Sus scrofa: one gene and its partners. The protein of the gene in region 4 purifies or fractionates together with the protein of the main gene of each other region. This does not show direct contact. Links are inferred from orthologs where the notes say so. Each region holds a gene or a part of one and is shown on either strand. Other genes may lie near its edges.

What was found.
Region 1: the proteins of SF3A2 (region 4) and U2AF2 purify together in Homo sapiens (affinity purification with mass spectrometry; 3 studies listed by BioGRID and IntAct, with this or other methods). This does not show direct contact. The link is inferred for Sus scrofa from reciprocal best matches to the Homo sapiens genes SF3A2 and U2AF2.
Region 2: the proteins of SF3A2 (region 4) and SNRPF purify together in Homo sapiens (affinity purification with mass spectrometry; 4 studies listed by BioGRID and IntAct, counting the BioPlex papers as one, with this or other methods). This does not show direct contact. The link is inferred for Sus scrofa from reciprocal best matches to the Homo sapiens genes SF3A2 and SNRPF.
Region 3: the proteins of SF3A2 (region 4) and U2SURP purify together in Homo sapiens (affinity purification with mass spectrometry; 3 studies listed by BioGRID, with this or other methods). This does not show direct contact. The link is inferred for Sus scrofa from reciprocal best matches to the Homo sapiens genes SF3A2 and U2SURP.
Region 5: the proteins of SF3A2 (region 4) and PHF5A purify together in Homo sapiens (affinity purification with mass spectrometry; 5 studies listed by BioGRID and IntAct, with this or other methods). This does not show direct contact. The link is inferred for Sus scrofa from reciprocal best matches to the Homo sapiens genes SF3A2 and PHF5A.
Region 6: the proteins of SF3A2 (region 4) and RBM17 purify together in Homo sapiens (affinity purification with mass spectrometry; 4 studies listed by BioGRID and IntAct, counting the BioPlex papers as one, with this or other methods). This does not show direct contact. The link is inferred for Sus scrofa from reciprocal best matches to the Homo sapiens genes SF3A2 and RBM17.
Region 7: the proteins of SF3A2 (region 4) and SMNDC1 purify together in Homo sapiens (affinity purification with mass spectrometry; 4 studies listed by BioGRID and IntAct, with this or other methods). This does not show direct contact. The link is inferred for Sus scrofa from reciprocal best matches to the Homo sapiens genes SF3A2 and SMNDC1.

What each region holds. Positions count from the first base shown.
Region 1 is NC_010448.4:59,772,761-59,776,989, reverse strand, and holds the start of U2AF2 (U2 small nuclear RNA auxiliary factor 2), read right to left. Parts: upstream 2,801-4,229; coding exon 2,752-2,800; intron 1-2,751. UniProt on the Homo sapiens protein: Plays a role in pre-mRNA splicing and 3'-end processing. By recruiting PRPF19 and the PRP19C/Prp19 complex/NTC/Nineteen complex to the RNA polymerase II C-terminal domain (CTD), and thereby pre-mRNA, may couple transcription to splicing.
Region 2 is NC_010447.5:87,620,064-87,624,143, forward strand, and holds the start of SNRPF (small nuclear ribonucleoprotein F), read right to left. Parts: upstream 2,801-4,080; 5' UTR 2,677-2,800; coding exon 2,674-2,676; intron 824-2,673; coding exon 698-823; intron 1-697. UniProt on the Homo sapiens protein: Plays a role in pre-mRNA splicing as a core component of the spliceosomal U1, U2, U4 and U5 small nuclear ribonucleoproteins (snRNPs), the building blocks of the spliceosome.
Region 3 is NC_010455.5:83,703,298-83,707,300, reverse strand, and holds the start of U2SURP (U2 snRNP-associated SURP motif-containing protein), read right to left. Parts: upstream 2,801-4,003; 5' UTR 2,691-2,800; coding exon 2,646-2,690; intron 2,621-2,645; exon of another isoform or gene 2,530-2,620; intron 1-2,529.
Region 4 is NC_010444.4:76,411,382-76,414,881, reverse strand, and holds part of SF3A2 (splicing factor 3A subunit 2), read right to left. Parts: intron 3,316-3,500; coding exon 3,244-3,315; intron 2,673-3,243; coding exon 2,626-2,672; intron 2,457-2,625; coding exon 2,347-2,456; intron 1,614-2,346; coding exon 1,564-1,613; intron 1,455-1,563; coding exon 1,314-1,454; intron 1,037-1,313; coding exon 968-1,036; intron 887-967; coding exon 107-886; 3' UTR 1-106. UniProt on the Homo sapiens protein: Component of the 17S U2 SnRNP complex of the spliceosome, a large ribonucleoprotein complex that removes introns from transcribed pre-mRNAs.
Region 5 is NC_010447.5:7,069,851-7,073,944, reverse strand, and holds the start of PHF5A (PHD finger-like domain-containing protein 5A), read right to left. Parts: upstream 2,801-4,094; 5' UTR 2,435-2,800; coding exon 2,383-2,434; intron 1,966-2,382; coding exon 1,942-1,965; intron 1,447-1,941; coding exon 1,280-1,446; intron 73-1,279; coding exon of another isoform or gene 28-72; exon of another isoform or gene 1-27.
Region 6 is NC_010452.4:64,906,207-64,910,300, forward strand, and holds the start of RBM17 (splicing factor 45), read right to left. Parts: upstream 2,801-4,094; 5' UTR 2,635-2,800; intron 1-2,634. UniProt on the Homo sapiens protein: Splice factor that binds to the single-stranded 3'AG at the exon/intron border and promotes its utilization in the second catalytic step. Involved in the regulation of alternative splicing and the utilization of cryptic splice sites.
Region 7 is NC_010456.5:120,736,862-120,740,829, forward strand, and holds the start of SMNDC1 (survival of motor neuron-related-splicing factor 30), read right to left. Parts: upstream 2,801-3,968; 5' UTR 2,615-2,800; intron 1,419-2,614; coding exon of another isoform or gene 1,299-1,418; intron 1-1,298. UniProt on the Homo sapiens protein: Involved in spliceosome assembly.

The DNA of each region.
Region 1 (4,229 bases), on a different chromosome or scaffold from region 4:
GCTTTTGCCTCACATGTTTTTCTGATGCAATTAAACATAAAACTTTTCACAAGTGAACTCAAACTCCAGAACCACTAAAAGACAGAAAAACACGCACCTTGGAAAACAGAAAAAAAAATTCCAGCCAACACTGCAATGGTACCTAAGACTAGATCCTGTGCTAGCTCTACTTGAACTTAATCTTGTTACCTTGGGGAGACACTGCTAGAGGCTCACCTGACAGATGGGAAAACTGAGGCTCAGGGAGGTCATGTGACTTGCCCCTGGCCAAAAAGCAAGGAAGTTGTGAACACTGAAATGCCCACAAGTGCAGTTAAGCACTAGGCAATACTCAACATGGGGCAGCCAGAACACTCCAGGGTCTGGCGGGAGCCCCTAAAGACAAGCGGTTACCTCCTTGAAGACACAGACTGAACACGAAAAACAAATCCAAGCCTGGAACCAGGAGGCAAGTAGCATGAAGTAGCAGGTAAGCATGACACTGAGGGCCCAGAGGTGTGCTGGCCTGAGGCTCTGGGCCTCTGGCTCCACTCTTGAAAGATGGGCCAACTATAAAAACAGCGTCTTTTGTGGCTTTGGTTCTGAAACAGACAAGCAGGCAGAGAGGAACAGACACAGAGGAAGAAGTGGCGCCTGCTGGGTGCCTGAGACACAGACAAGGAAATTAATTCCCTGGAGACACAGGTGCACAAGGCAGGGACTGAGGCTTGGAGGAGGCTTGGACCACAGAGACAAAGACCCACAGGCACAACGATACTAGGGCAAAGCTTCCCCTTAAAGCAACAGTAGGTTCCCTGCCTCAACCCAAACAGGTCAGGAAGGAAAGGCAGCTGTGGTTACTCAAAACGCTGTGATCACTTTGTTGTGGGAACAACTCCACCAGCCCAAGGGACGTGCCAGTACCAGTGGGGACACCCAAGAGAAACCAAGCAGCACGTGTGCAAGTGCCCCAAGGAAGGTTCATTCAGTTCCATCTAGCAGTCCAGCCTAGGGGCACGTGGTTTTGCAGCCAGACTCAGGATCAGCTTCAGCTCTTCTGTCTACCAACTGCATAAAACCACAAAACAGCAACCGTACCTTCCAACCTCAGTGTTCCCGGTCTTTTAAACGACGCTCATCCCGCCCCAAGTGTGGGACATGGGATAATGACGCTGGGAAAGCACCTCTCCCTGCTGTCCCAACTCTGACACCACCTCTGAGGCAGCTCAGGGCAGCCTCTCCATTACCTTCCTAAGAAATTTCACTAGGGATCATTTCACAATACTCCTCGTTAGGCACTTAACGAATGCCAGACCGTATGCCACACACTGTACACACATTACCTCACTTAACCTCAGCTGCAACTCTCACCAGCTAAAACCAAAGAAAGTTTTTCAAGCTTTCTGAGCCTGCTTCCTCCTCTGCAAAGGAAAGGAAGTCATGTCAGTCCCCCACGGCTGTTGACCATCTACTTAAATAAGCCGTGTAAAAGCTTAGCAAAGCACTATCAGTACTGCCATCACCATTGACTCCAGAAACCGGTAATAAAGACACATACCTATTTAACAGCCACTACACACAAGAAAAGGATTAAAAAAAAAAAAAAAAAGCATAGACGTGTTAAAGTTCCACAACTACTTAGCAACAAAGCAGGTACTAGAAGCCAAGTCTCCTCCCCTCCAAAGCCTGTGCTGTGAAGCGTTACAACGTGTACAGACACCCCGTGGGCACTCCGAAACCCGACTTCGTCTTCCCCAGGCGCTGTCTCCTCCTAAACCAGCCACCTGCTCCCAACTGCAGACTGGGCTGAAAGGGGAACCCCAGCGCCCCCCGCCCCCTGTGCAGTCCTCTGACCACAAGGAGCTTAGGCCTCGCGCTCGCCACCTCCTCCAGGCCTAAGTTTGTTCTAACATTCGTGGGGTGTCCAAACTAGTCGGCACTAGCTCGGCCTCCTACTTGGACTCCGCATCACCGGAGGGACTTTGCCTCCCATCCTCCCAACTGAGCTAAGTCTCCCTACTCGCTCCGAGCCTGTCTCTTTATCGCCACGTTGAAAAGGCGGACACACGCGGCGCCCGGAGGGTGGGCTCGTACAGAACAGGGGACCTGTCTAACTGAGGAGATATGGGGGGCAGACACGCCACACTGTGCCTGGCGCGACGGCGCGAGGGAGAACCGCGTGCGGGAGGAACACTGAAAACGCACAGTGCGGACCTCTCCCAGGAGACACCGCATCACCCACGTTAGGCTGGAAGGGACCCCGGCGACTAGCCCCCAGGAAAGGCGCGAAGGGCGGCGGTGCGAGAAGGGCCCACACCGCGGCCCTGCATGCGCCCACGTGAAGGGGGGCTCCAACCGCCATTTTGGAACAAAGGGGGCGTGGAGACACCGGCCGCGGGCCCGGCCGGAAGCGGAAGTGCGAGGGCATCGGGAGAAAAGGAGGGGTTGCGGGACCCAATCTACATAATCTCCTTTCCAAATTAAAAAAATAGAAAATAAGTCCGCAACGGACTCCCGACAGCCTGCGGCGCCCGCGCCACCCGCGCCGGGGGCCACGTGGGGCGCGGAACCGAACGCGGCGCGCATGCGCCCGCCGCCCCCTCCCCTCCCGCGCGGCGGCACGCCGGGCGGTCACGTGAGTAAGGCGCGCACCGCGGGGTGGGGGGGCGCCGTGCGGGCCTAAGGGGGGGAAGCGAGGGGGAAAATGGCGGGGGACACAGGGGGAAGCCGAGAGCCGCCCCGCCCGCCGCCCCGCACCCCCGGCGCCCTCACCTTGCTTATTCTCGTTGAGCTGCCGCTCGAACTCGTCGAAGTCCGACATGCTGAGGCGGCCGCGTAGGGCCCTGTGTAGCTCTCGCCTCGCCTTGCCGCGCGCCCGATCCGGCCGCTTCGGCTACTTCCGCCGCTTGCTTCGGCTACTTCCGGCCGCCGCCGGCGTTCCACCGCCTCCTACCTAATCAAGCCCCTGCCGCCCGCCCAGCCCCGCCCCGGCTCCGCCCCTCTCCCCGCCGGCCCGCCCACGAGGCGCACCTCCCCCCAGGGCCTGGCTCCGAAACGCGTCGGCTATTTCCGGACCGTGGAGGAGCGAAGGGAGAGGCGACTTCGGCTGCTTCCGAAAACACCCGAAGCGAGGGTTTCGCAGGCTTCTCAGGTTTTCGTAACTTTTCGGATAGTAGCTCTTCAACGTTCGGATGTTTCCGTAGGTCCTCGCATTCCTAGCACCCAGACTCCCCACTTAGAATTCAGCTTCTTCCAAGAACTCAAACCGTCCGTCTTTGGCTGCTTCCACGGATTCTACCCTCTCTTTCCCAACGGCCCTGTCCAAGCAATCGGCCACTTCCGACAATCCTAACCGTCCCGGATTTCGGCACTTTCCGAAGGTCTCTGGCGCTCCCCCTCGGGCCCAACCAGAGATTAAACCCGTTTCCAAACTTCGGCTCTTTCCGGAGATTCCAAGAGCAACCTCCTCCCCCTTTCGGAGAACTTCGGCTCCTTCCGCCACCGCCTGGGGAAGGACTCACAGCAGACACCTTCGGCTTTTTCCGTGGGCGCTTCGGCTCCTTCCGGCTCCGGGAACCAAAAAGGGAGGGAGGACAGAGGCGAGGTGGGTCAGGGGAAAGGAAAAGAAGAGGCAGGGTCTCGGCTCTCAGCACCCGGCTCTCCCTGTGGGGCGATGGGAGGAAAAGAAGGACCGATGTTGAGAAGCGCCTAAGAAGGTTTCGCGAGACAAAAGCAGCCAGCGGAGTGAAGAGTGCGCGCGGCTGCTGCGGAGGTTGCCAGCGCGGCTTTGTGCGCATGCGCAAAGTGGAAGGGGCGAGCGCGAGAGAGCCTCTGCGCCTGCGTAGAGATCGGTCTGAACCGAGACCTCTCACTGTTCGGAGAGGGGGGGCGGGTCGTCGGGGCCACAGCCCGAGCGCGCGTGCGCGAGATTTCCTTCCTCCAGGGAAGGGACTACATTCCCGACCGTTGAGCAAGGCCGCCCCCTTGCGGTTGCCGTGGCAACCACACAAGCGAGCGTTCCCCCCCCCAACCGCGCCGACGCTGCTAGCCACGCAGCGGGCACTTCCGGGAGACAGAGAATCTCGCTTTACCGCCTCCTGGAGGCAGTCTCTGTTCAGAGCTCCCCGCTCCCCTCGATGGTCGCCTCTCCCAAAAGTCATTGAGTCCCGCCTTCTGCCGCCTTGCCTCTGGTCCAAGTCGGCTCATGCCTCCTTCCCGGAGTTCTGCTCCTCCGAGTTGTTCAGGGCACA
Region 2 (4,080 bases), on a different chromosome or scaffold from region 4:
CTTCTCTCTTAAGAACTGCTTCTATCAAATTACTTAGATTTGTACATTTAGCATTTATCAAAAGACACGAATTTCACTGGAAAAGGTTCTCTCGGACCAAGTGCTGGGATGTTTTGCTTTCCCCACAAATCAGTATATTTTTCTTATGACATTGTGAATCAAACGCCTGAGCTCTTCTTACTTTTAACCACCTGGGAATCAAATCTGTGGCTGAATTTTTTTTTTTTTTTTGTCTTTTGTCTTTTTGTTGTTGTTGTTGTTGTTGCTATTTCTTGGGCCGCTCCCGCGGCATATGGAGGTTCCCAGGCTAGGGGTTGAATCGGAGCCACAGCCACCGGCCTACGCCAGAGCCACAGCAACGCGGGATCTGAGCCGCGTCTGCAACCTACACCACAGCTCACGGCAACGCCCGATCCTTAACCCACTGAGCAAGGGCAGGGACCGAACCCGCAACCTCATGGTTTCTAGTCGGGCCCGTTAACCACTGCGCCACGACGGGGAACTCCTGTGGCTGAATTTTTAATATGTCTCATACAAAGTTCATCAAATTATAACATCCTCCTTAGCCTTGATTTGACCCCTTAATTTTGCTTTGTTTGTCAATTAATTATATCCCTGTAAGTCACACCAAACCTTTGAGAAGTCACATGAAGAAAAATAAATACAATCTAATGATCTTCATAACTCTTCCACTTACCTGCATATTCATATAGCCATCTACAGACACCAGGTAGCCTTTGTACTCCATTCCCCACTTAAGTTTCACCATCACTGGCTTCCCTGTTAACCCATTGAGGAAAGGTTTGGGATTGAGAGGCAAACTCTGCAAAACAAAAACAAAAAAAGAACCCAACTGAATAAGTTTCTTTAGCTTGGTTTCTATTACCTACTCTTTTCTGCCAAATTACCAATATGCTGTGGTATCCAAATGAAGCAAACTCTTGACTCCATCTCACGTTATTACATAATTTTCACTTTTATTTGTGGAAGAACTTCAAAGAAATATCCAGCCAGTCAATTTCATCAACCCCATCAAGACTTATTCAATGTTCACTTAAGAAACATTCACTCACTGTTCCAAAAATATAATGAAACCAAGGAAAAGGCAATAGAAAAAAAAGAAAAAAAAAAAAAAAGGCAGATGACAGTCCCTGTCCTTAAGAGACCTACAGTGGGAGGGAAGGGTCAAAACATACACGAGTGGGCAATTACTTTGTAATGTAGTAAGAGGAGAATGCTATTACATGATACCAAACAATCCAGTGTTAAGAGAAATGGAAGAGTTGCCTGAAGTAAGTAAATGCCTGTTTTAAAGGATGACAGATATTTCCAGAGGGAAAGAGGCTATTCTAGGCAGAGGAGGCTACCTATGCAAAAGGAGGGAAGAATGACTCGGCAAGGTGATCTCAGGGACATAAAAGTTAGTTTTGTATGAAGTTACTGAAGAGGCAGGGGCAGATCATAATTGAGTCTCTCACTATGAAAAGGTAGGCCTGGATCTTATTTGACTTAGCAGTGACTCCTACATATAGGCAATCAATCACTTAATGTTTGTTTATTCAGCAAATGCAACAGTATCTCCAACGAATTCAGACTTTTCCCCCTTCCTTCATCTGTTGGCCCATCCACCCAAAGAGAGAAAAGAACCAAGAAACTTGGCTACTAAACCCCTCTAGGATAAGCATACTCAGAGTGATCTCAAATAGTTCTATGGTCTTCACTCTTTTCTTTCTCCAATTTATTAGCCACACGGCAAGTATTTTTTATCACATCATATCTCTACCTAAAATGTTTTGATGGCTTTCCAAAGTAGACCCGGGAGTAGAACTCAGACCTCCTAAAACTGCCTAATACTTGCCCAACACTCCATCCTAGCAAGCAGCTGTGGCTTTCTCTCAATTCCTCCAACTGGTCAGGCTTTCTTTCGAGGCTCAGAGTCTATGCTCATGTTTCCTGAGCTTGGTGTATACACTCTTCCGCCTCTTTAAGGGTGTGTATTTCATATCGTTTAAGTTTCAGGTTAAATCCCTTCTCCCAAAGATGCCATCCTTAAACACTTCTAACGTAGCATGGTACCCCCTCATAGCATCCTGTGTGCTTCCTCCTTAGCACTAACTTTATTTGAAATTATGTATTTGTCGTTATTTGATCAATGTCTCTCTCTCTCTCACACCGACTTAAACTGGAGCAGGGGCCACACCAGTACTTCTCGCCCTATAGTCCTAGTTCCTAGAACACACCTGACAGGTAGCAGGAGCTCAGTAAAAATTTGCTAAGAGAACAAATGAATGCTCAAAGCTCGGGCTCAGTATTCCAAAGGGCTGCAGGGCTTCCCAGCATCACCAGACAAAAGCGGATTTTGGAGTGCTGTAAGCTGTACGTGAAAAACCGCTTCATCTTTACTCCAACTCTGTGGTCCCAGGCAGCAAGAGCAGCTCAGGCTCAGATTCAAACGAAGAAGAGGGGGAAGGGGACATTCCTAGGGAGGGGAAGGAGGGCGTGCGTCAGACACCCAGAACTGGCAGAAAGGGGCTGGCCACAGGCTGCGCGGGGCCTCACGCGGATGAATGGGAAACGCGCGAAGGCCCGGCGAAGCTGGTCACCCGCCCTCCCGCCCTCTCTCTCTCTCTCTCTCCCCCACACGGGCGACTCTGACCTTCTCTTTCTCCTTACCATCGCGACTACTGCTGCTGTAGTGGGCAGATGCTGCAGACTACCCGCCGCCGACTCAGCGCCGTCCGGCCCTCGTGGACTGGAGTTGGCTACAGCAACTTCCCAGCCACCAAGCTTCCAGAGAAATGGCCGCCAAATAGCAGCGTGACCTTTCCCCTCCGACTACGGCTCTTCCGGCTTCTGTGATTGGATGCAAAAAGATGCGTGCTGATTGGCGGAAGTGACTGGGGCCTGTCTCCTGGCAACCAGCAGGCTCGAGTTTCCGAGCGCCTTCCCGGCGGGGGCAGGAAATAGGAAACCTTCAGCAGCATGGGTCTGATACCTGCGGCACTGCAAAGGCAGAGAGGTGGCTCGAGTTGCCTGTTTGCTCGCCTGCCTCGAGGGTTTGCTGTCTGTCCTGCAGAATGGACGTGATTTCTCGCCAACTTGGCTGGTGGAGTTTCCTTTGGCTTTGCACACCTGGGAAAACGAGCTCGGGGCTCTCAAGTTTCTTCTTCATTTTCCCACAGATCCTGAGCCATGGGGACTCCTCTGCCACAGTCCCGTTCTACCTGATGGCTCTCTATTCTGTAGTGCTCATTTCACCCCATCTCAGAGGAAGTGGAAGAAGCAAGACTAGATAGACTTAAGGAGGTGAAACGCACCGGAAGAAAGTCAACTGCAGAATATTTTTCAGATGAGGTCAGACAGAGACTAAAATACGGTGTGGTGGCCTCCCGGTCCACCTGTTTCTTGTGCTTTGCGAGCAGAGGCCCACTACAGTCCTCATACTGGATTTATTTTTTTCAAATATATATATATCTAAAACATTTTGGATATAAATTTATATACATGTAATATATATTATAAATAAATTGCATATAAATTCAGTATAGCTGAATTACAACATTGTGCCAGTTTCTGTTGTACAGCAAAATGACACAATCATACACATATATACATTCTTTTAAAAAAATTTTTTTTTCTTTTTTGTTTTTTGTTTTTGCAGCCCTAAGGAGTTGAATTTGAAATTGAAATTTATGGAGTTCCCGTCGTGGCTCAGTGGTTAACAAATCCGACTAGGAACCATGAGGTTGCGGGTTCTATCCCTGGCCTTGCTCAGCGGGTTAAGGAGGTTAAGGGTCCGGCGTTGCCGTGAGCTGTGGTGTAGGTCACAATCCGGCTGCGATCCTACATTGCTGTGGCTGTGGTGTAGGCCGGTAGCAATAGCTCGGATTAGACCCCTAGCCTGGGAACCTCCATATGCTACGGCAGCGGCCCTTGAAAAGACAAAAAGACAAATAAGAAGAAAGAAGAAAAAATTGAGATTTAAATGTTGCGGTATTGTGGAGTAGTGGCTAAGACTTTAGAGGCAGTCTGAGTTTAGAACGTCTATCACGTGGGAATGGTATTGGGCAGTTTCTTAAC
Region 3 (4,003 bases), on a different chromosome or scaffold from region 4:
TCATTTGACTACATATACTTGAAACAATTTTAAAAGCAAGAAGAAACTAGCTAATTTAACATGTTATAATTAAGACACATCAAATAATTTTGCCATTGTCATTGGCAAGAATCTGTTTATTTTTAAAACTTCTTCTGAGATATAATTGACATAAAACACTGTATTAGATTCAGGTATACAGCATGATGATTAAATATCTGTATACACTACAAAAACATCACCACAATAAGCCTGGTTAATAGCCATTTGCCTTACAGTTTTCTTCTTGTGATGAGAACTAAGATCTACTCTCAGCAGCTTTCAAACATGCAATACAGTAGTATTAAAGACTGTCGCCATGCTGTACATTACATTCCCTTGTACATTTTTAAGCTTAACATTTTTCTCAGTGTCTAGAAGTATGATTAACAAGCATCTCTGACCATATCAATAGGAATTTAATAACTACAATTTAACAAAGAGTAAGAAAGCACAAAACTGAAGAATCTGTTCACTCCCTCTGTATTGTAGTAGAATAATCCTCACTCATCTAAACTCCCCACAGGAAAGGAAATCAAACTAGAGAGCAAAGGCTAGAAATTCCAAGTACTGAAAGTATTAGCAAAAATGATCTTAAACTCTCTCCAATAAATTCTGGACTTGGGTTAGAAATAAAAAGCAGCAATGTGGATAGTCATTATGTTAACTAATGACCTAGATTCTAAATCTCAGCATTAGAACTTATCCTGATATTTTGAAAAGTAAATACTTTTCATTTCCTCTAAGAACAAAAGGGAAAAGCAAAGGAACTAAGAGTTATTCACTCATTTAACCTTTACGTCAACCCTGTAGAAAAAGAGATTATATCCACATTACCAACAAGGAAGTTGAGGCTCAAAAGTTTAAGCAATTTGCGACATCATAAATAAAGTACCAAGTCAGAATTTGAATCCAAATCTCGACTTTGTTATCAAAATCCATAATCTCTCCACTACCTCGTGTACCCTCCATATTAATGCAAAAAACCATATCATTTGAGCCCTACTATATTTTACAGACATCGTAGGAAACCTCTTAATCACATCAATTGACGATAATCTAAAGCAATACAAACTGAAAAGATTCCTGGCAGATTCAACAATTTACACTTACCAAAAAAAAAAAAAAAAAAGCCATATACAACCCTGACAAATACTCTTAGAGAAGGCTGAACATATGCTTTAAAATGTTTTCAATGTATCCAAGGCCTCAAATAGGAGATACTAAAGTATTATTTTGAGAAGAAACAAAAATAGTGACGCTTACCGGTGAATTTTATGGATGTGGCTAACTTTGGTAATCGTTCCCTAACAGTAAACAGGGCTGTTTTTCTGATGAGTCTGCTGAGGAAGTGGGCAGAGTGATGTACCCAACTACTCCCCTCCTCATCAAGGGGAAATTAAGTGGGGAGAGGAGAAACAAGGAGTAAACGCAGAACGTAAAGCAGCCAATACTGGCCTTCTATCATAGCCTCCACACAACTAAAGGATTTCTGGTAAATCCATTACTAATTACGAACTAATTATAGACGTCATGCACCAAATGGCATAAAGATTATGATTAGAAACTGAGAAAGCAAGTATATAATAGGTTATATTTCCCAAAACAAACTGCACACACAGAACTAGCCCCGTCTACAGTAAACTTAACTTCCTAGTAACCGACTTGCAATTCATACACACTCTTTAAGATGTGTATTACACAATTTCTTACATCAGCATAGAAAAGCTTAACAACTACTTTGGGCACTATCTACTACTTTTAATATCGTTTTGAAAAAGAAACTCAAAGCAAAAACGATTAAATGACCCGTCCAAGATGGCAACTGGTGCCAGATGCTAATCACAACCTAAAGCTAAACTACTCCCACAGCTCAGTGGTTTCACAATACTTGCACACGATTCCCTGTACACTCAAAAGCAACTTATGAAAGTTCTCCTTTCGGGAGGTGATGAGGACCCCGAGTCCTCGAAAATGAGCCCTCCAAAGAAGCGTTCATTTCATACTTCCCCTTAAGGGAGGTAAGACCACGTGTAGAGCGTAGCATTAACCTTGGTGATGCAGCACCGCAAAGGAGAACTGCTCCCGCCTCTGCATTTCCCACCCCGCGTCCCTCCACTATAGGGCCTCCCCTCACAATCTGCAGCCCTAGAGATTATTTATTCCCTGCAGGACGTGAGGGAAATTGAAGGAGGCCAGAAGCGTACGAGATCCAAACCCCAAAGAACCGAGGAAAGAGAAGTAGACCTTAAGTACCGGGAAGTGATTCCCGCCTCTCCTAGACTCTGTCCCGGAGCTTCAGAGCGCAACAAGCTGAAATACAGAGGCGCGTTTTCCTGGCGTCAGACCTCAGTGTAAATCCCTGACTTCACCCCAGTGGTAAGCGCGGGGCGAACTACTCATGCCACCTGCCCCGGGCCCGCCAGCCTCGAGCCGAATCCAGGCTGGGACCGAGGGGAGATACCAGGCCTCTCAACCTGCGCACCACGGTGCGTCTGCGCCCCGGCCTACCGTCGCGACCGGAACGCGGACTTCCACCCCAATCTCCTCCCGCTGGCCAGAAGTGTCTGTAGTCTCCAGACGACAGTGATAGACTCAATGACTCACGAAGTCCTTTAAGAAATTACCTTTGAACTGGCCTTCTGAGAGCCGCCTGGCGTTTTGTCCGCCATCTTGAGCTTTGCCCCTCCTTCGGCGGCGGCAGCAGCAGCACGGGCGAGTCGAACGCCGAAAGACTGGATCTCAACACAGCCCGCCAGAGGCGCCTGCAAGGCTGAATAGTCGATTGCCGACTATTCAAGGGGAAGTGGCCACGTGACTTCCGGTGTCGGTCTTCTTTTTTTTTTTTTTTTTCCAGCCCTGCCCACTCTGCTGAATATCTGTGGGCGTCTCCCTGGCGGGTTGCTTTCTCCGCCGGAGAATTTAGGGAATCTTGTCCAGGCTTTCAGGGCTGGTTGGAATGCACCCTTTTCTCAGTGCCAGCCCTTGATAGGCGCGAACTAGTTGCACTTGCTGGATGAGTTAGGGAAAGCCTTCTTAAAGAAGAAATGCATGGGTCAGCCGGGAGGAGTTTTTACTTCGACTCAAGTAAACCTGGAGCCAACAGGAGAGTGGGCTGAGGTATGGTGCTCCATGGACAAAGATGGTGTTCCCGCCACCTCTGGCTCTCATCCCCTAGGGGGAAAGGCAAACTTGCGGTCTGTTCAAGTTACTTTAAAATGCAGTGGTGCCGAGAAGCAGAGCAGGGCAGCTTTTGACCCAAGCTGAGATTCCAGCAGTGGGGTTGTTGGATAGTCTGTTTAAGGCGTCTGCAAAATGGGTGCGTGGAGAGAAAGGATGCATGAGAGAAAAATCATAAGCAGACGATAGTCTAAATCTAGCATTCATATAAGTTATTATTTAAAATTTTTTTTATTTCGGAGTAGATTTACAATGTTGTGTTTTGGGTGTACAGCAAAGTGGATTCAGTTACATATATACAGTTGTGTGTCATTTAAGAGACTTATAGGAGTTCCCATCGTGGCTCAGGGGTAACTAACCTGGCTGGGATCCATGAGGAAGCAGGTTTCATCCCTGGCCTCACTCAGTGGGTTAAGGATCCATCCTTGTGGTGAGCTGTGGTGTAGATTGCAGATGCAGCTCAGATCTTGCATTGCTGTGACTGTGGCTTAGACCAGCAGCTGTAGCTCAGATTCTGCCTCTAGCCTGGGAATGTCCATATGCCACACCTGTGGCCCTAAAACAAAAAAAAAAAAAAACAAGATAAAAGAGTTACATTTTACAGTTTGGTATTGCTTTCATTTTTAATCACAAATAGAGGAGAGTAACCATACTTCAGTGCTCTTTTCTTTCTTTTTTCTTTCTTTCTTTCCTTCTTTAATAGGATCTGTATTCAAAGAAGGAAAGCTTGCTTGAGGAGGTCATTCCTGAGCCAAACCAGGCAAAGAAAATGGAAAGAGCTTTCCAGGCAAAGGAAGTACTTGAA
Region 4 (3,500 bases):
ATAGGCTCTGGGCACACGGCCCAGCCCTGTATAAAAACACCCCATTTTATTCCAAGGGTGGAACACAGGAAAACAAAAGCATACTTGCTGGCACAGGGGTAGCTTTTCAGTTGGTGGGGGGAGGGGGAGGCATGTTCCCAGGGCCTTCGGAGGGCAGTGGGGGCCTCAACATCGGAGGCATGGGAGTTGGGGGATGCACCCCGGGATTTGAGGGGTGAACTCCAGGAGGCTGGGGGTGGACTCCAGGAGCTGGAGGATGGACCCCAGGAGGTGGAGGGTGAACCCCAGGAGGCTGGGGGTGGATCCCTGGGGCTGGTGGATGGACCCCAGGAGCTGGTGGATGGACTCCTGGGGCCTGGGGGTGAACTGCTGGAGCTGGTGGGTGCACCCCTGGGGCCTGGGGGTGAACTGCTGGAGCTGGTGGGTGCACCCCTGGGGCCTGGGGGTGAACCCCAGCAGATGGGGGAGGATGGACCCCTGGGGCTGGAGGGTGGACCCCAGGAGCAGGGGGATGGACCCCAGATGTTGGGGGGTGGACCACTGGTGCTGGGGGGTGGACCCCAGGAGCTGGGGGATGCACCCCAGGAGCAGGAGGGTGCACTCCAGATGCTGGAGGATGGACCACTGGGGCTGGGGGGTGGACACCAGGAGCTGGTGGGGGTAGCTGAGGAGGGCCGGGGGGCCCCGAGGGTGCAGGCCCACTGGGCGGCATAGGTGGCAGAGGCAGGCCTCCAGGTGGAGGCGGGGGCAAAGACTCTGGCAGTGGAGGCCTAGGAGGCAAACCATTCATCAGCGGGGGTGGGGGCCGCTTCACCCCGGGAGGCCCGGCAGGGAGGCTTGGTGGGGCTGGTGGCTTTTCCATCTTAAAGTGGAACTGGAGGAAAAACTGGAGAGAAAGGAGAAGCTGAGTGGGGCCCCTTGGGACCTTGAACTCCTTCTGGAACTACCCTGGCCTGGAGTGACTCACCTGCTTGGTTTCCCGGTTCCAGTGAGTCCAAAACTTGCCTTCAGCCTTGTCGATCTCCCTGCTGGGAACCTGCATGGGGCGGGGGGTGGGAGCAGAGTTCGGTTCTGGGGCAGTAGGGCTGGCTGACATTCTTGCTCCACTGCTTAGCAGCCCAACAACCCTATAAGTCAGGTCTTACGCCATCTCATTAACATCATGAACCTGGAAACCGGATGTGATCAAGGAACCCCTCAACAGCCCGGCAAGGGGACATATCACTGCTGGGGACACATAAGGGTCTCTGCTTCCTGGCAGACACCCACATCAGGACACCCAGTCCCCCACCCCACAGGGGCTGGCATGCTACCTTGAAGGCAATGGTCTCATAGGGCTCAGCGGCCATGAGCAAGTACTGCCAGCGCCGGTCTGGGGGTTCAATCCGCTGCTCGTAGGCTGACATGAAGCGGTGGCGGGGTGTGATGCCCTCAGCGACCTCAGGGTAATCAATCTGTGGGGACATGACCAGGTGGCAGCACCATCTTTTGGGGGCCCCCATGGGGCCGGAGAGGAACGAGGAGACCTTCCCCTCAGGACAGGGACCCCAGGGCTTTGCTCACCTGGAACAGGAGGCTCTGCTGGCCCATCTCTGTGTCCCTCTGCTTGGTCACTGAAACAGAGGAGGGTCTCAGGGCCAGGCTGGCCTGAAGCTAAGGGGCCCCGGGGCTGGCCTCATACCACCCACCACCAGGAGAGTGGTCTGCAGGGTGGTTGCCTGGCTGGTGAACAGTGGAGTCGCCTGTAGCCAGATGGGCACCGCCCAGGGCCAGGGGCTGGAGTTGGTTCCCCACTGCTCCCACAAGACCTGGGGAGCACCTTGTGGGTGGAGAAGCCTCACTTTAGAGCTTTGGGTTGCTCTCCACACAGCTCCCAGGCTCTCCACCACTTCCCCCACATCTAGGAAGGGGCCTGAAGGGCCAGCTCAGCTGAAAGGCCTTTGGTGGCCTCTTTAGGGCCTCTGCCTGCCAGCCTAGCCTGGGTTCACGAAGTAGGCCTGCCCCAGAACCTCTGCCATCATGTCTTGCCTTCCTTGTCACTCCCAGAAACATGATCCCTGAGGCTCCAGCAGCCCCTTAACTGGCTTCCTGGAGCAGGTGGTCCAGACGCTGCTGCCCATGCAGACCCTCACCCTTCCCGCCCCCCCTTTTCCTCAGGTGGAGGAATTGCAGCTCCGAGGTTAGAGATGAGGGCCTCACCAGGGTCTGCTGCTCCTCTGGTCCCCAGGGGAACCTTTCTGATGGGAAGGGAACAGAGCCGCCCCAGAAGGGTGCTGCTGTGGGTGTGGGCAAGTGAGGACTGTGGGGAACAGTAGTCTGCATGACTCGGGGCTGGGGCCCCCTTACCTTTGTAGCCTGGGCGGCCAATCTTCACAAACTTCTTCACCTCCACCTTGACCTTCTCTGGCGCCGGCTGGGCGGGGGCCTCCTTGGCCTCCTTGGCTGCTCGCCGGGCCCTGCCGGGAGGAGAGATGCGGTGCTGTGGCCCCTCTACACAGGCCGCCAAGGCCATGGACCCAGGTGCCGGGAGCACCCCACCCCCTGCCCGACCTTGAGGCTGGTCTTGGAGGTGAGGGGGTGGGGTCAAGTAGGGTGAGTGCAGGAGGGGCGGGGTGAGGCACTCACAGGTTGGTCTGATGCTTCTTCCCTTGGGTGTGCGCAAGGTAGCTCCCCTAAAATGTGAGAGGGTCACACAGTTCAGGACTCTGAGTGGGAAGTGCCCGGGTGCCTCTGACCGGCCCAGGCCAGCCTCTATCTCCAGGCTGGCACTGGCAGGCCAGGGTGCAGGTGAGGCCTGGTGGCCTGTGGGTAAATCCTGGCATGGATGTGCTATGGGGCCCCGAGATTCTACCTTGATGACCCCCACATGTCAGGTGGTCTCCACTGGGGGCTTTCTGACCCCCCACCCCAGGACACCATGCCCACGATGGTCCCCCACAGAAAACCAGCCCCAAGGCCGTGGGGGAGACCCTCTCATATGAGACTGTTCAGTGCTGCACTGAAGCCTGGAGCTGTGAACCAACTGGAAACAAACCCAGTGCTAGATGGTGAAGGACAGAGGGAACCTCCTCGTCATGGAGGGAAGGAGCCCAGCGTGAGCAGCAAACTAGAGCCACACTAGCCAGACCTCACAACCCAACACCCCTTGGGATCTCCTCATGGAGATCCACTCAAGGCTGTGGTGCCTAGTGGGGCAGGATGGGGGTTGGGGCAGGATGGGGGTTGGGGCGGGATGGGCCGCACCTCATTGTTGTGCAGTGTCAGGCACAGCTTGCACTCGTAGGAGCCCAGGTGGTTCTTCATGAAGTAAGGGTCCTGAGGGGGAAGCACAGTTGTCAGATGGTGGGTAGCATGCTGCCAGTGGCTGGGCTGAGGTACAAGGCCTGCCTCTGTTCCTGAATCCTGGCTCTCCTGCGGTTGGCACTGAGAGGGCACTGAACCCTTTCAGGAATGTCTCAACGCTGAGCCTGAAGAACCCTTAGTTGATTATCTCAGAAAAT
Region 5 (4,094 bases), on a different chromosome or scaffold from region 4:
TAAGGTGTATTGCAGCTATCACCAGGTTTAGACAGACAGCCGGGGCTTGCCCCTTATTAGCTGCAGGACAGACTGTAAAAGGGGGATAGTAATAATCCCTATTTAACAAAGTTACTGTGAAGAATATGGAAGATAATACCCACATAGAAACTACCTATTCTTTGCACAAGGAAAAATTAAGAAATATTTTATCTCATGCCTTATCCTAGATTAGGTAACCAGATACCTTATAATAAATAGTCTACTGGTACTATATCACATTTCCTTTTATTTATTGTGTCATATGAATAAAAGCTGATTAACCTCCCCTACCCCAAGCCTGCTTTTGGAATAGATCTACAAGCCCTCTATCCTGGCTCAAAGAGTTGAATAAATAGCCACTGGCACCGGAGTTCCCGTCGTGGTGCAGTGGTTAACGAATCTGACTAGGAACCATGAGGATGCGGGTTCGATCCCTGCCCTTGCTCAGTGGGTTAAGGATCCGGCGTTGCCACGAGCTGTGGTGTAGGTTGCAGAGGCGGCTCGGATCCTGCGTTGCTGTGGCTCTGGCGTAGGCCAGTGGCTACAGCTCCGATTTGACCCCTAGCCTGGGAACTTCCATATGCCACGGGAGCGGCACAAAGAAATAGCAAAAAAAAAAAAAAAAAAAAGCCACTGGCACCAAAAAAATGTCAAGGGGCAAAAATGCCATGAGCAAGAATTACAATCAATTCTGCAAAATCAACCAAAGGCACTCTCTAGCCACTCAGAGCTGAAATGAACTTGAACTGTCCCAAATTCAAAAGTCATCACATCCACCCTAACGTTCCTTAATGGTAGCACAAATTAGTGACTTCTGCACATCATGCACTGTGGTATGATTTAAAAATGCAGCATAGTTTCTGGGGGGAAAAAAAAAAAGAGAGAGAAAGTTCCTTTGTGGTGCAGTAGGTTAAGGATCTGGCATTGCCGTAGCTGTGGCACAGGCCACAACAGCAGCATGGTTCATCCCTGGCCTGGGAGCGTCCACATGTGGACACAGCCAAAAAAAAAAAAAAAGAGAGAGAGAAAGACATCAAATTGCCAGTGTTGACAAAAATTTGCTTTTCTCGCCTTTGTGTACTTGATGCAAAATAACTACCTTTTGTTGGAGTACACCCAGTTTGGTTTACAGAACTTGAAAATTATAACCTAGGTGACTGGCTGAACAGCCATCTCCTGACCATAGGAGTCTGCTGTGGATGGCCAAGTGTTCCTAAACGAAAGGAAAGATCAGAGGAAAAGCTTAGTATACACTCACATCCTTCTCCTGGATGGTGCACTCCTTACAATAATAGGCATCTGAAACTCCCGGGCCTCCGCAGATCACACAGCGCCCCTGGTAAGAGCCATAGTTACACTCGTCACATATGCGCACCAGGGTGCAGGGACGCACGTAGGAGTCACAGATCACACACTTGCCATCACCTGTAAGGAAAAGAGGTTGAATTACGCCCACTTGCAAGTACCTCAGGTCCTCTTCCTGCTATGGGTAAAAACACTATGTCCTTCTGACAGTGACTTTAGCCCTCTATTTTGGCATTATAAAATTGGTTTACCTAGCGTCCATTTCTCAATCTCCCCAACACATAGGAAAGCTAATCAATTAATATAAAGGGCTTAGAATAGCAGTCGGTAGATAAGTCTATATAATTGACTGGCAGAATGCTGTGTGTGTTGGGGGCAGGGTCATGCTACTTCTGGTCCAAAGCTAGAGGTTTTGTCAAAACCTAAATACAGTGCCTAAAATGTACAAGTTGGAGCGGGAAGGTGGCCTTTAGTTGCAGTCTGGCTTTGTATTAACATGCTTCCAATCATGTCTATCCAAAGCCCTCTTCGTGGCACCGCTGAAAATGTCCGTTGCTGCCACTATAGAAGCTGAGTGGGAGGGGTGGGCTGTTTGGAGAAGCGTGTTCCACTCACATTTTTCACACAGTCTTCCAATGGCTGCAAGATCAAAGGTGATAAAGAGTACAATTAGGATTAAGGTTTAGAAGAGGGGACAAAAGCCTCGAGCTTGAGTTGGGGACAGGTACAGGGTCTGCAGTGAGCCCTGAGAGGTCTTAACCATCGTATTCTCATAAACTTCAATCCGAACCAAATCCGCACCCTCGTAAGACCTCCCAGGTCCTGGGAAAACTGAGAATTTCTCTATCTCCGCAGCCCCTCTCCAGCTCTCAGCACGCGCGCCCCCGCCCCCCTTTCATCTGAGCCCACAAACCCACGCGCTCCTACACTACCGGCGGCGAGGCGGGAAACGGGGCGCCTCCGAAGCAACACCCTAAAGGAGTAATGGGAACCCCGGACTCTTAAGGTCCTAATACCATCCCCACCCAAACAGCCGGGGGCAGAAGACCGTCTCACCAACACCAGCCTGCTTGCGGCAAAAAATCAAGTCCGGGTGATGCTTAGCCATCGCTCGCGCTCAAACCACCGGAAGCTTAGGGAGCTTCCGCCAGACCTTTAACCCTGATTGTTCCTGCCTCCTCGTCGCCCTGATTGGTTCTCTAGGCGTCCATCAGCGTTTGCAATCTTTGCACCAAGCCCCGCTCATTCTCGCGTGATCAAAGCACTTAAATTCCGAAGACGAATTCCCGTTGGCAGTGGGGGAGTCAGGTCTTGGTAGGGGTGTGCGGGTCATTTAGGGAAAAAAAAAAAAAAAAACTTTCCCAGATTTGAATGGGAGGGACAAGTTGCAGAGCGCAAAGACGAAATTTGCACTTTGATATCTTTGTGCCGGGTATTTACTACCCCAACTTTTTAGGCAGCTCTCTCCCAATTCCCAGGTTGACTCTGGAGCTCCGCCCACGTCGCTCGCGGGAACGCCTTCAGCGTGACGCGTTTCTCCTCAGGTCACGCCCCTCACCGAAGGCCTTAAATAAGCCGCGTGTCACGTCACTTTCAAGCGACCTCATCTTTGTCAGTGCACAAAATGGCGCCTTACAGCCTACTGGTGACCCGGCTGCAGGTGAGCGAACCGAGAGCCCTCTAGGTTTACGGGGGCGGGGTACCTCTTTTGCGCTTGCGGCTATGGGCAAGGCAAGGCGAGGCGGGCCTGACCTCCGGCCGACTTTTCGCGTACCTGTCCCTTGCGCGGGCCCAGCGCAAATACCCGCTCCTCTGGCGCCCGAGGTCAGGGCGTCCCCGGCTCAGTCAGCTCTCAGCCCTGTCCCCGCCCCGCTGGAAGCAAGGGCCTAAGAAGCGGCGGCCGGGTGAAGAGTGGAGGCACGTCTTTCTCATTTTTGAGGACCGCAGTTTCTTCCCCCGTAAGGCTTTTTTTTTTTTTTTTTTTTTTCCTCCCCCGTTCCTCAAGGTGAGGACAAGGTGACTGGGGGGCGCGGTGGTTGGTAAGCGCGCTAGGCCCAGAGCCTGAAGGCCTCACTTTTCATCTCAGTAGCACAGAGTTGCTAGCCAGGTGCATCTACGGTTGCCAAACATGGAGTCTGTAGGGGGGGAAAAAAAAAAAACTATGACCTATTCCATCTTGTGGGGATCCTGCGGAACATGTACCCAAGAATTCGAGGGGGTGGGTTCCGTGCCCAGATGTAGCAAATAGTAATGATGACAGTAGTCTCTCAGCTTTGCACAAGATTGCAAGACTTAATTCCTCACCACATCGTTTGATTCATATCATCATTTCTGGAGATGATTATTTTTATTTGATAGGTGATGACGCTGTTAGAAAACAGGTAAAAGTTCTGCTCTCTGAGTCTTACCAAAGTGCTGTGGCCTGAGCATCTGCCCTACTACTCCCCATTCTCCTTGTCCCTTTCAGCCTGCCCTCACAGAACTTTTTGAGCCAGAGTGTGGTCCTGGAGCTGACATTTGTATTTGTGGGAGTTCCAGAATGGCGTATTTTGAGCTCACAATCAGTTGCTTTTCAGTTACTAGATGGGGAGGGTAAAAGAGACTCAACAGTTTGACCTTGACTGTCCTCTTTTGAACCATCTAGAAGATTGACTGACTGCCATTTCTTTTTTTTTCACTCCTGACTTGACAACCCTAGGAAGATGTTACACTCAAAGGTTCAATGTCAAGAACGTATTTCGTTAATAAAAAATCAAGCAAGCATTCTC
Region 6 (4,094 bases), on a different chromosome or scaffold from region 4:
CAGCTGATTTGTATAATGTCTTTAAGAAACCTTCTAACTATTTACTTCTAAACACCATTCTTCGGTTAACACATCTTCCAGGAAGTCTCTGTGTGGCACAGCGGGTTCAGGATCCAGCATGGCCACAACTGTGGCGCCGGTCACAACTGCAGTGCAGGTTCAATCCCGGATCCAGAAACGTCAACATGCTGCAGGTGCACCCAAAAACAACAACAACAACAAAAACCCCTCCAGGTATGCTTTTTTTCCCCTTAAAAAGAAACACGGTAAACATGGTTCTGCCAGAAGAATGAGGATTTTTCAAGATTCTACCTAAGCTGGCAAAGTATTTTTTACACATGTGCAACTGGCAGAAAAAGAATACAGACATCTTCTCAGAAGCATTCCACTCACTCACCTTTCAAGTGCGTCTCTGAAGCCTCTGTGACAACCCCCCACGTAAAAGCAACTGTCCCTGAACACGTGTCTCTCACTATATCATCAGCCCTTTAAAGGTAAGGCCTGTTCTGTCTTTGCCCATAGAAGCACCGTAAGTTTTACACCATAATTCATGGGAGAGAAACTCCCCTCACCATACAACTAATAATGAGTCAAAGTTTGAGCTCTGAGCACCTAAACAAGTGGACATGGTAAGAAAAGACCTTTTATCACTAAATAGACATTCATGTATCATAAATCAAAAACGAATCCTAAAGAACACGCCAAGTGCTAGACACATGGACACAAAGCAACAGGAAAGGCCACGAGGGTGGTGCATGCTGATGCCAACAAAAAAGACAGGTAATAAGAGGCATCGCTTCATGTGTAAGATGTGTGACTTCCTAAAGAATTTTTAAATGTTTCCCTGTACCTCCAGCTCTGACCCCTTGTCACAGTTTAATACTTCCATTCATTCTCATAGACGCTATAACTGCCCAAGTACATAGGCTGGAGTGTCCGTGAGTCACCTGTAACTCAGGTGTGTAAGAGAGCATCCTTCACTATCCACGAGTACGGAAGACTTGGGGAAGGAGTACCAGCCCTGACTGCTCCTCGAGTGTAATTTAAAACAAGACAGGTAGGAGTTCCCACTGTGGCCCGGCAGAAGGGAATCCAACTAACAACCGTGAGGCTGCGGATTCGATCCCTGGCCTCGGTTCAGTGGGTTAAGAATCTGGTGTGGCTATGGCCGTGGTGTAGGCCGGCAGCTGCAGCTCCAATTGGACCCCTGGCCTGGGAACCTCCATATGCTACAGGTGTGGCTCTAAATGGCAAAAACAAAAGCAAAACAAAAAAACAAGCCAGGTAAAGAGACATCCACTTTACAAAGTTGCATTTGGAAACGCAAGACAGTTCTCCAGATTCCTGTTTTCTGTAAAGTCTGTCCGCAGCCATCAGAGAGCCCCAGGGTCAGCTCCTCAGTGCCCACACCTCTCACATCTCCCGCCGGCTCACAGCCTACTCACTGTTCTAAACTGCACCGCGTCCATCTCTTGATAAGGTTCTAAAAAGAAAACACCCTCAGTTTAAGTTACTAATATCCTACACTCCCAAAATGTCTTTGTGTTTTATAATCAAAACGTCTGTGTCCTTCACCCCATAAAACTGGAAATTGACTCGCACTCTTTAAAAACTCTGTTGGAGGAGACGCAGTCCTCACCTACTTGAGGATGTTGCGTTTCGCCCTCGTCCAGAAGGTCCTACTTCCCACCCATCCGCCTGCCTCTAGCAATAAATCCCTTCCACGGCTCTCCACTACTGACTTCTCCCACCTTCTTGACCTGACCTGACCTGCCCTCTTCAAGCCTCTCTGCCTTTGCTGCAGTTTCCGAAACGCGCTAAGACGCTCGGCCTCTGCCGCTCTCGCACTTATTTCTTCTGCAGGAAACCGTTCCCCCATCTTGCACATCGAACCAAAGACCTCCAAGGTTCAGTTATAAGCCTCCTTCCCTCTTGGAAGCCTTTCCAGACCCCCCTCCAGTCCCTCAGATCAACCCATGCCTTTATGCTTGTTTCCCGAAAGACCAATCTTCCAGACTGCAAGGACAGAGGCTTATTTATCTTGCAGCCACTGTTCGTTGCTGACAAATGGTCTGGGTAAAGGGAGATGTTCAAAAGATGCTTGGCGATTGGACGTGAGAGCTGCAACGCCGCTTTGCACGGACGAGGGCAGCGCTAGAGCCGGAGTCCCGTCTTCCTGCGCGGCCAGGTGAACCCGGGTCTCTGAGAGATGTCCACACCTGGATTCCCCGCTCTGCGGCCGGGGGAGGAAACGGCTTCCTTCCTCTGCACCCTCCAACCGGGAGGGGTGCAAGCGTTCGGGGCCACAGGTGACCCAGGCCTGCCCACCAGGTCACGGACCGGGCAACTTTCCCCAAACACGCCCGCGGGGCCAGAAGAGACGAGGACACACAGACGGAAAATGAGAATCCGGGAGAGGAGACCGGGCCCGATAACCCGGGCAAATAAGGGAAAGGGGCGGCGGGGCGCGAAGGGAGACGCGGAGAGTCGGCCGGGGCCAGGCCGCCTGAGGCGAGGGGATGGCGGCCGGGGGACGGCCTGGGACCCCCGGCCCTCACGGCGCGGCCGAAAGCGGCGGCCTCGCGTCCAGCGCCGCCCGGGAGGCGCTCGCCCCCTGCCCCGGGCGCCACTTACCCGGTCCGCCCGGCCGACGCTCCCGGGCGGCCACGCACCGGGGCCGACGCGCCGCGGAGACGGCGGGCAGAGCGCTCGGCGTCAGCCCCCGACGGCCGGACCGCTCCGGCGCCAACCCCTACGCAGAGTCCGCGGGCCGCGCGGCTGCGCGGGGTCACGGCGTGTGCGGCTGGGAGAGAGGCGCGCTGCGCCTGCGCCGAGGACGCCCGCCCCGCCGCGCGCCCCCTGTCCGCGGGAGGACCTCATCGCACCGCCACCGCGCCCGCGTCCCTCTCTCCCGCCAAAAGATGTCGCCGTGTCGCAAGGTTGCCACATTTCAGTAACACCCCCTCCCACTCCCCGCCATCGGGAGGAGGACGACTGGTGCAGGGCTGCGAAACCATCCCGCCGTTTGGGCAAAGCTGAAAATAAATGACAATAGGAGAGGTGACTGGGAAAACGAAGGGCTTCAGAAGAAATGGCCCAAAGCGCTGAAGTAAGTGTAGGACTAAGGAAACACAGGGAGGGTGTGGATGTTCTAAAGCGTCAAAGTTTAAAAACGACATAACAGAAGCTGGGAGGAAAAAGAAGGTGGAGTTCTGTGTAAATACGATTCTCACATCTGCGTTCAAAACTGTAGGCAAGGCCTTGTGTCCCTGTCCTTTGAAATAAAAGGCTTTGCCTTCCATAAGTCTCGAAAGGCTGGTTCGGGGAACTCCCGTTGTGGCTCAGTGGTTAACGAATCCGACTAGGAACCATGAGGTTGCGGGTTCAGTCCCTGCCCTTGCTCAGTGGGTTAAGGATCCGGCGTTGCCCGTGAGCTGTGGTGTAGGTTGCAGACGCGGCTCGGATCCCGCGTTGCTGTGGCTCTGGCGTAGGCCGGTGGCTACAGCTCCGATTTGACCCCTAGCCTGGGAACCTCCATATGCCGCGGGAGTGGCCCAAGAAATGGCAAAAAGACAAAAAAAAAAAAAAAAAAAAAAAAAAAAGGCTGGCTCAAAAGGTAATGCTTGTGTGAACTGGAGTTTGGCACTTGCCATCAGCCTCTACATGGATTAAATCATGAGCCACCGCACCTGCCAACCCACGGCACCCCCTGAGCAGAACTCTGGGTGAAAATCAGAGAGGCACTCTGTGCTTTGGGAAAACTGCAAGCACAGTTCTTCAGATAGATATTTTTAGGAGAAGATTTTATGTGCCCAATTCTTGCAAATTTTCATATCTAGAAAAACACTAAAATCCTTCATGGGGATGTCTGCTCCTTGTGACCTTCAGGAGAGAGCAACAAATTTTGCAAAATGGGTGTGTGCTGTATGCACCTCCCCTCCCCTTTATCGTATTCTGGTATCCCCCTTTCCTCTTTATCATATTCTGATATCCCCCTTTCCACTTGGGAGCAGCATTGCAGAGCTACCTGAAATACCACCACTTGGGCTGTAGTTAAGGATAAAACAAAGAATGTCAGGGTCATCCATGAATGC
Region 7 (3,968 bases), on a different chromosome or scaffold from region 4:
TTGATCAGGACCCTGAAATCCACTGGCCTGACTTATACATATTGAAGTTTCTGTATTTTTTTTACAAAATAACATACTATTGAAACCTCATGCAAGTCTATTCTAAATCTAGAATTTGAACCTGAAAATATTAACTCATCTTAATTTTGCCCAGGTAAGCTCTTTCAGAATCTTGAATCTGGGCCCATTTCAAATAAGCTTCATTTGTCTGCCATTCTAATATCCCTAAAATAGTAACAGTTTAAATGGGCAAGAGAATGATATAAAGGGAAGGAAAGAATTACTTAGATAGAATGAAGATGATTCAAGTTTTGTTTTGAATCAGTGAAGACAGACCATCTAATCAAAACACCTTTTAAAACTTTTCAAAATTCCAGTTCAGAATTTTAAGTTCACAAATCTCTTAAGATGAAAAGTCACACATATTTACGAATATTATATAGGGTGTTTTTACTAATCAACCTAGTGTTCTGAGAAAATACAAATATTTACTATAATTATGGTTTTATGTTTTTCTTGAAACCCCAGAGCAAGTTCTAAAAAACAGGTTTAATACTTACTGAATGCTCCAATGACAAAAACAAATTAAAAATCTCCTTTCCCATAGGTTTGGTTTAATTTCAAGTTGTTAAAAAGGGTCAACAACTACATGTTAAACCTAGCCTTAAGTTCAAACATTACGTAATGTTTACGCAGAAAACAGGTTACCTCTTTAGGTATTTTTATAATGTGTTTTCAATACAAGGCACTAGAGCTAGCTTTATTATATACATGCACACACAGTCTCTTTTGCACACTCCTGCTCATGCACACTCTCTCTCTCACCCCTCAATTTCATTTTCAAAGAATCTTGTGTCATTAAAAAGAATTTTAATTAGGTTATATTTTTCCCCTTTAAATTTAGTTACCCTTTGGACAAAATTTGCTTTTCCAGATCTTTAAAAATAGAAGTGCTAGCCATTGTAAAGTTATATGTACCTCTTTCTCTAGAAAGTTTGAGATTGACTTCTAAAACTAACTCGCTTTTAAAACTTTTTATGAGCGTACAAAATTGACGTAACAAAAAACAATGTTTCAATCATTTTGATGTACACAAACTGAGGAAGCAATCCTACTCCTGGAAGCCATGTATGCCTATGTGCATACCCACATGTACATACAAGAAGTGTGTATGTGGAGAGAAACACTCCCTCCAAAGAGTGTTCTGGATACCTACAGATTCTAGGCAATAAATCATTTGTAAAACACAGAAATATTCTTTTCAAGCAACATAACCATAAGTGTCCCCTCTTACTTACCTGTAAATCTTTCTTTAATTTTAGCAAATCTTCATTTTCTCCATTTCCAGAGAGAGCAGCTTCAACTTGTTGGAGTTGAGCTTTGTAGCTTGCCAGCTGCTTTGCTAGATCCTCTGACATCTGGGGAAAATGAAAAGAGTAAGGCCATAAAAACAAAACCAAAAAACAAACCATAAAAAATAATTTTTCTCTGTCTGAATTAACCCTTACCAATTTTGCTCCCAACCCATTATAATTCATTGTAGCTTAATTTATCTGTGTTACCTTTACTTTCAGTTCAGAGAAAAGTTGTGAGCCAAACCACAAACTCCAAGGCAACAGACGCTCAAGATTATAAACATATCAGAAAAACTCCATATAGTAACAGAAAACAAAGGTAAGAGGGAAAAGGAGACTTTCTAATTTTCTTTAAACTCTTGTTAACAGGGAAGACACACAGGCTCAGTTAACAGGGTTGTTATATAGTCACCAAAAGAAAAGGGGGAAAAAGTACCAAACTGTTAAAAGAGGCGAGACTTTATTTTTTTGAGCGCTAAAAAATACTTCCCAAACCAAATATAAATGGCTTTTAGATTAACTACGCAATTAATTCTCTCCACAAGAGCTATCCAATTAATACGAGTGTGTTTAGAAACTCTTCTCCAGAGCAAAAATCTTTCATCCAGTCGCTTAAATATTGCTGATGGTTTTTCTTCAGTAAAAGAAACAGCACAGATATTTTCCTTAGGAATTCTAAAGAAACGTGTCGTTCACCAAATCCCGCTCGTTCTTCTGAAAATAAGATAGGAGAGAATTCTTTCCCGCTTTCTTAGCAAACACAACGGGTTTCCGAGGACCCGTCTGTCTCACAGTTCTCGTCCAACTACAGCCCAGAGTCTGGAAGGGCTCCAAAGAGGTTAGAGCGAGCCAGGCTGTTCTCCCTCAGTGACCAGTACCTCAAAGCCCGCCACAACTTGCTCTATTATTTCAGACCTCGAAATTCAAACAGCTTCCAGGGAAACCGAAACACGAACGGAGCGGAGGCCAGCGGAGCCGGAGCCCCACACCCGCAAACACGCTCCGCACCGAAGGGCCAGGGCGTCTCTAAGACGCCTCCCGCGCCCCTACCCCACCCATTGGGTGCCCAGGATTAGTCCAACCCGGTCCGAGGCCGTTCCGGGCTCAACTCTAGGTGGGAGAAGAGACCGCGCCCCTAACACTCTGGCTAGGACCCGGGCCCTCCAGCGCGGCTGGCTGCTGGGCCTCAGGCCTCCGCTTCAACTCGGGAGAGGCCGAGGCCCGACGAGGCCTCACTCGCTCCCTCGTCGGTTTGTTACCTTGTGTGGGGTTGGGGTCGGGGCAGTGGGAAGGGGTCGGGGCAAATGAGCCCAGTGGCGGTGGCGGCGAGAGTGGCAGCAGCAACAGCAGCAGGAAAAATCTCAGCAGCGACAAGCTGTCTCGGTCTGAAGAGGGAAGAAATCTACCGGCCGCGAAGAAGAGTGGACGAAAACTGGGCACTGGAAAGAGGAAAAGACAGAGGCGGGTGAAATCTCGCGAGTAGTTAAAAATCCTCGCGAGACGTCGCTCGATCACGTGATTCCTGGTACCCTCTAGACTGCCTGCATTTAATCAGGTTAGGGACGTGAAGTGGGCGGGGTTACTAAGGAAGGAAATGGCGTAACTATGATGCACAAGTTACCGGATGTACGTTCGTCTTGTCTCAGTTCTGGCTCAGTGAGGGGAGCTTTTGGATTGTTAATTTAGGGGTGGGTGCTGTCCGGCTTTTCCAGAGGTTCGCAGGGTGCTGGGTAGTGGGAGGAAAGGGGTTTAATGTAGCATTCATACTAGCGGTTGGTTCTCATGCAGTCGGGGTACCAGCCGCATCAGCATCGCCTGGTTTTTATTTTTTTACAATAATTTAAAATTTATTGCAAAAATTATTTATTACAGATTCTCAACCTCAGGCCTCTGAATCAGAAACTCAACTCTGAGGATAGGCTCAGCAACCTGTTTCATGGAGCCCTCCAAGTAATACCAAAGTCCGGGCAGGTTTGAGCTGTATATAATAATAAAAGTCTTGGAGTTCTCTTGTGGCGGCAGCGGGTTAAGGATCCCAAGGTTTCCGCGTTGTCAGTGCAGCGGCTTTCATTACCGTGGCTCGGGTTTGATCCCTGACTCAGCAACTTCCACATGGCTCTGGCAAAAAAAAAAAACAAACATAAAAGGTCTTTGTGGCTACAAAAGCGCTGATTAGGTTATGGCAGAACCCATTGGACAGGAGAATGGTTTATTTAAAACCCATTTGGGGAGTTCCCGTCGTGGCGCAGTGGTTAACAAATCCGACTAGGAACCATGAGAACCATGAGGTTGCGGGTTCGATCCCTGGCCTTGCTCAGGATCTGGGTTGCCGTGAGCTGTGGTGTAGGTCTGCTCGGATCCCGCGTTGCTGTGGCTCTGGTGTAGGCTGGAGACTACAGCTCCCATTCGACCCCTAGCCTGGGAACCTCCATATGCCGCGGGAAGCGGCCCTAGAAAAGGCAAAAAGACAATAAATTAATTAATTAATTAAAACCCATTTGGGGAATTCCACTGTGGCGCCCTGGGTTAAGCATCCAGCATTGCCACAGTGCTGTGACAGGTTGCTGCAGCTGCAGCTCAGATTTGATCCCTGGCCCAGGTATATTCCATATT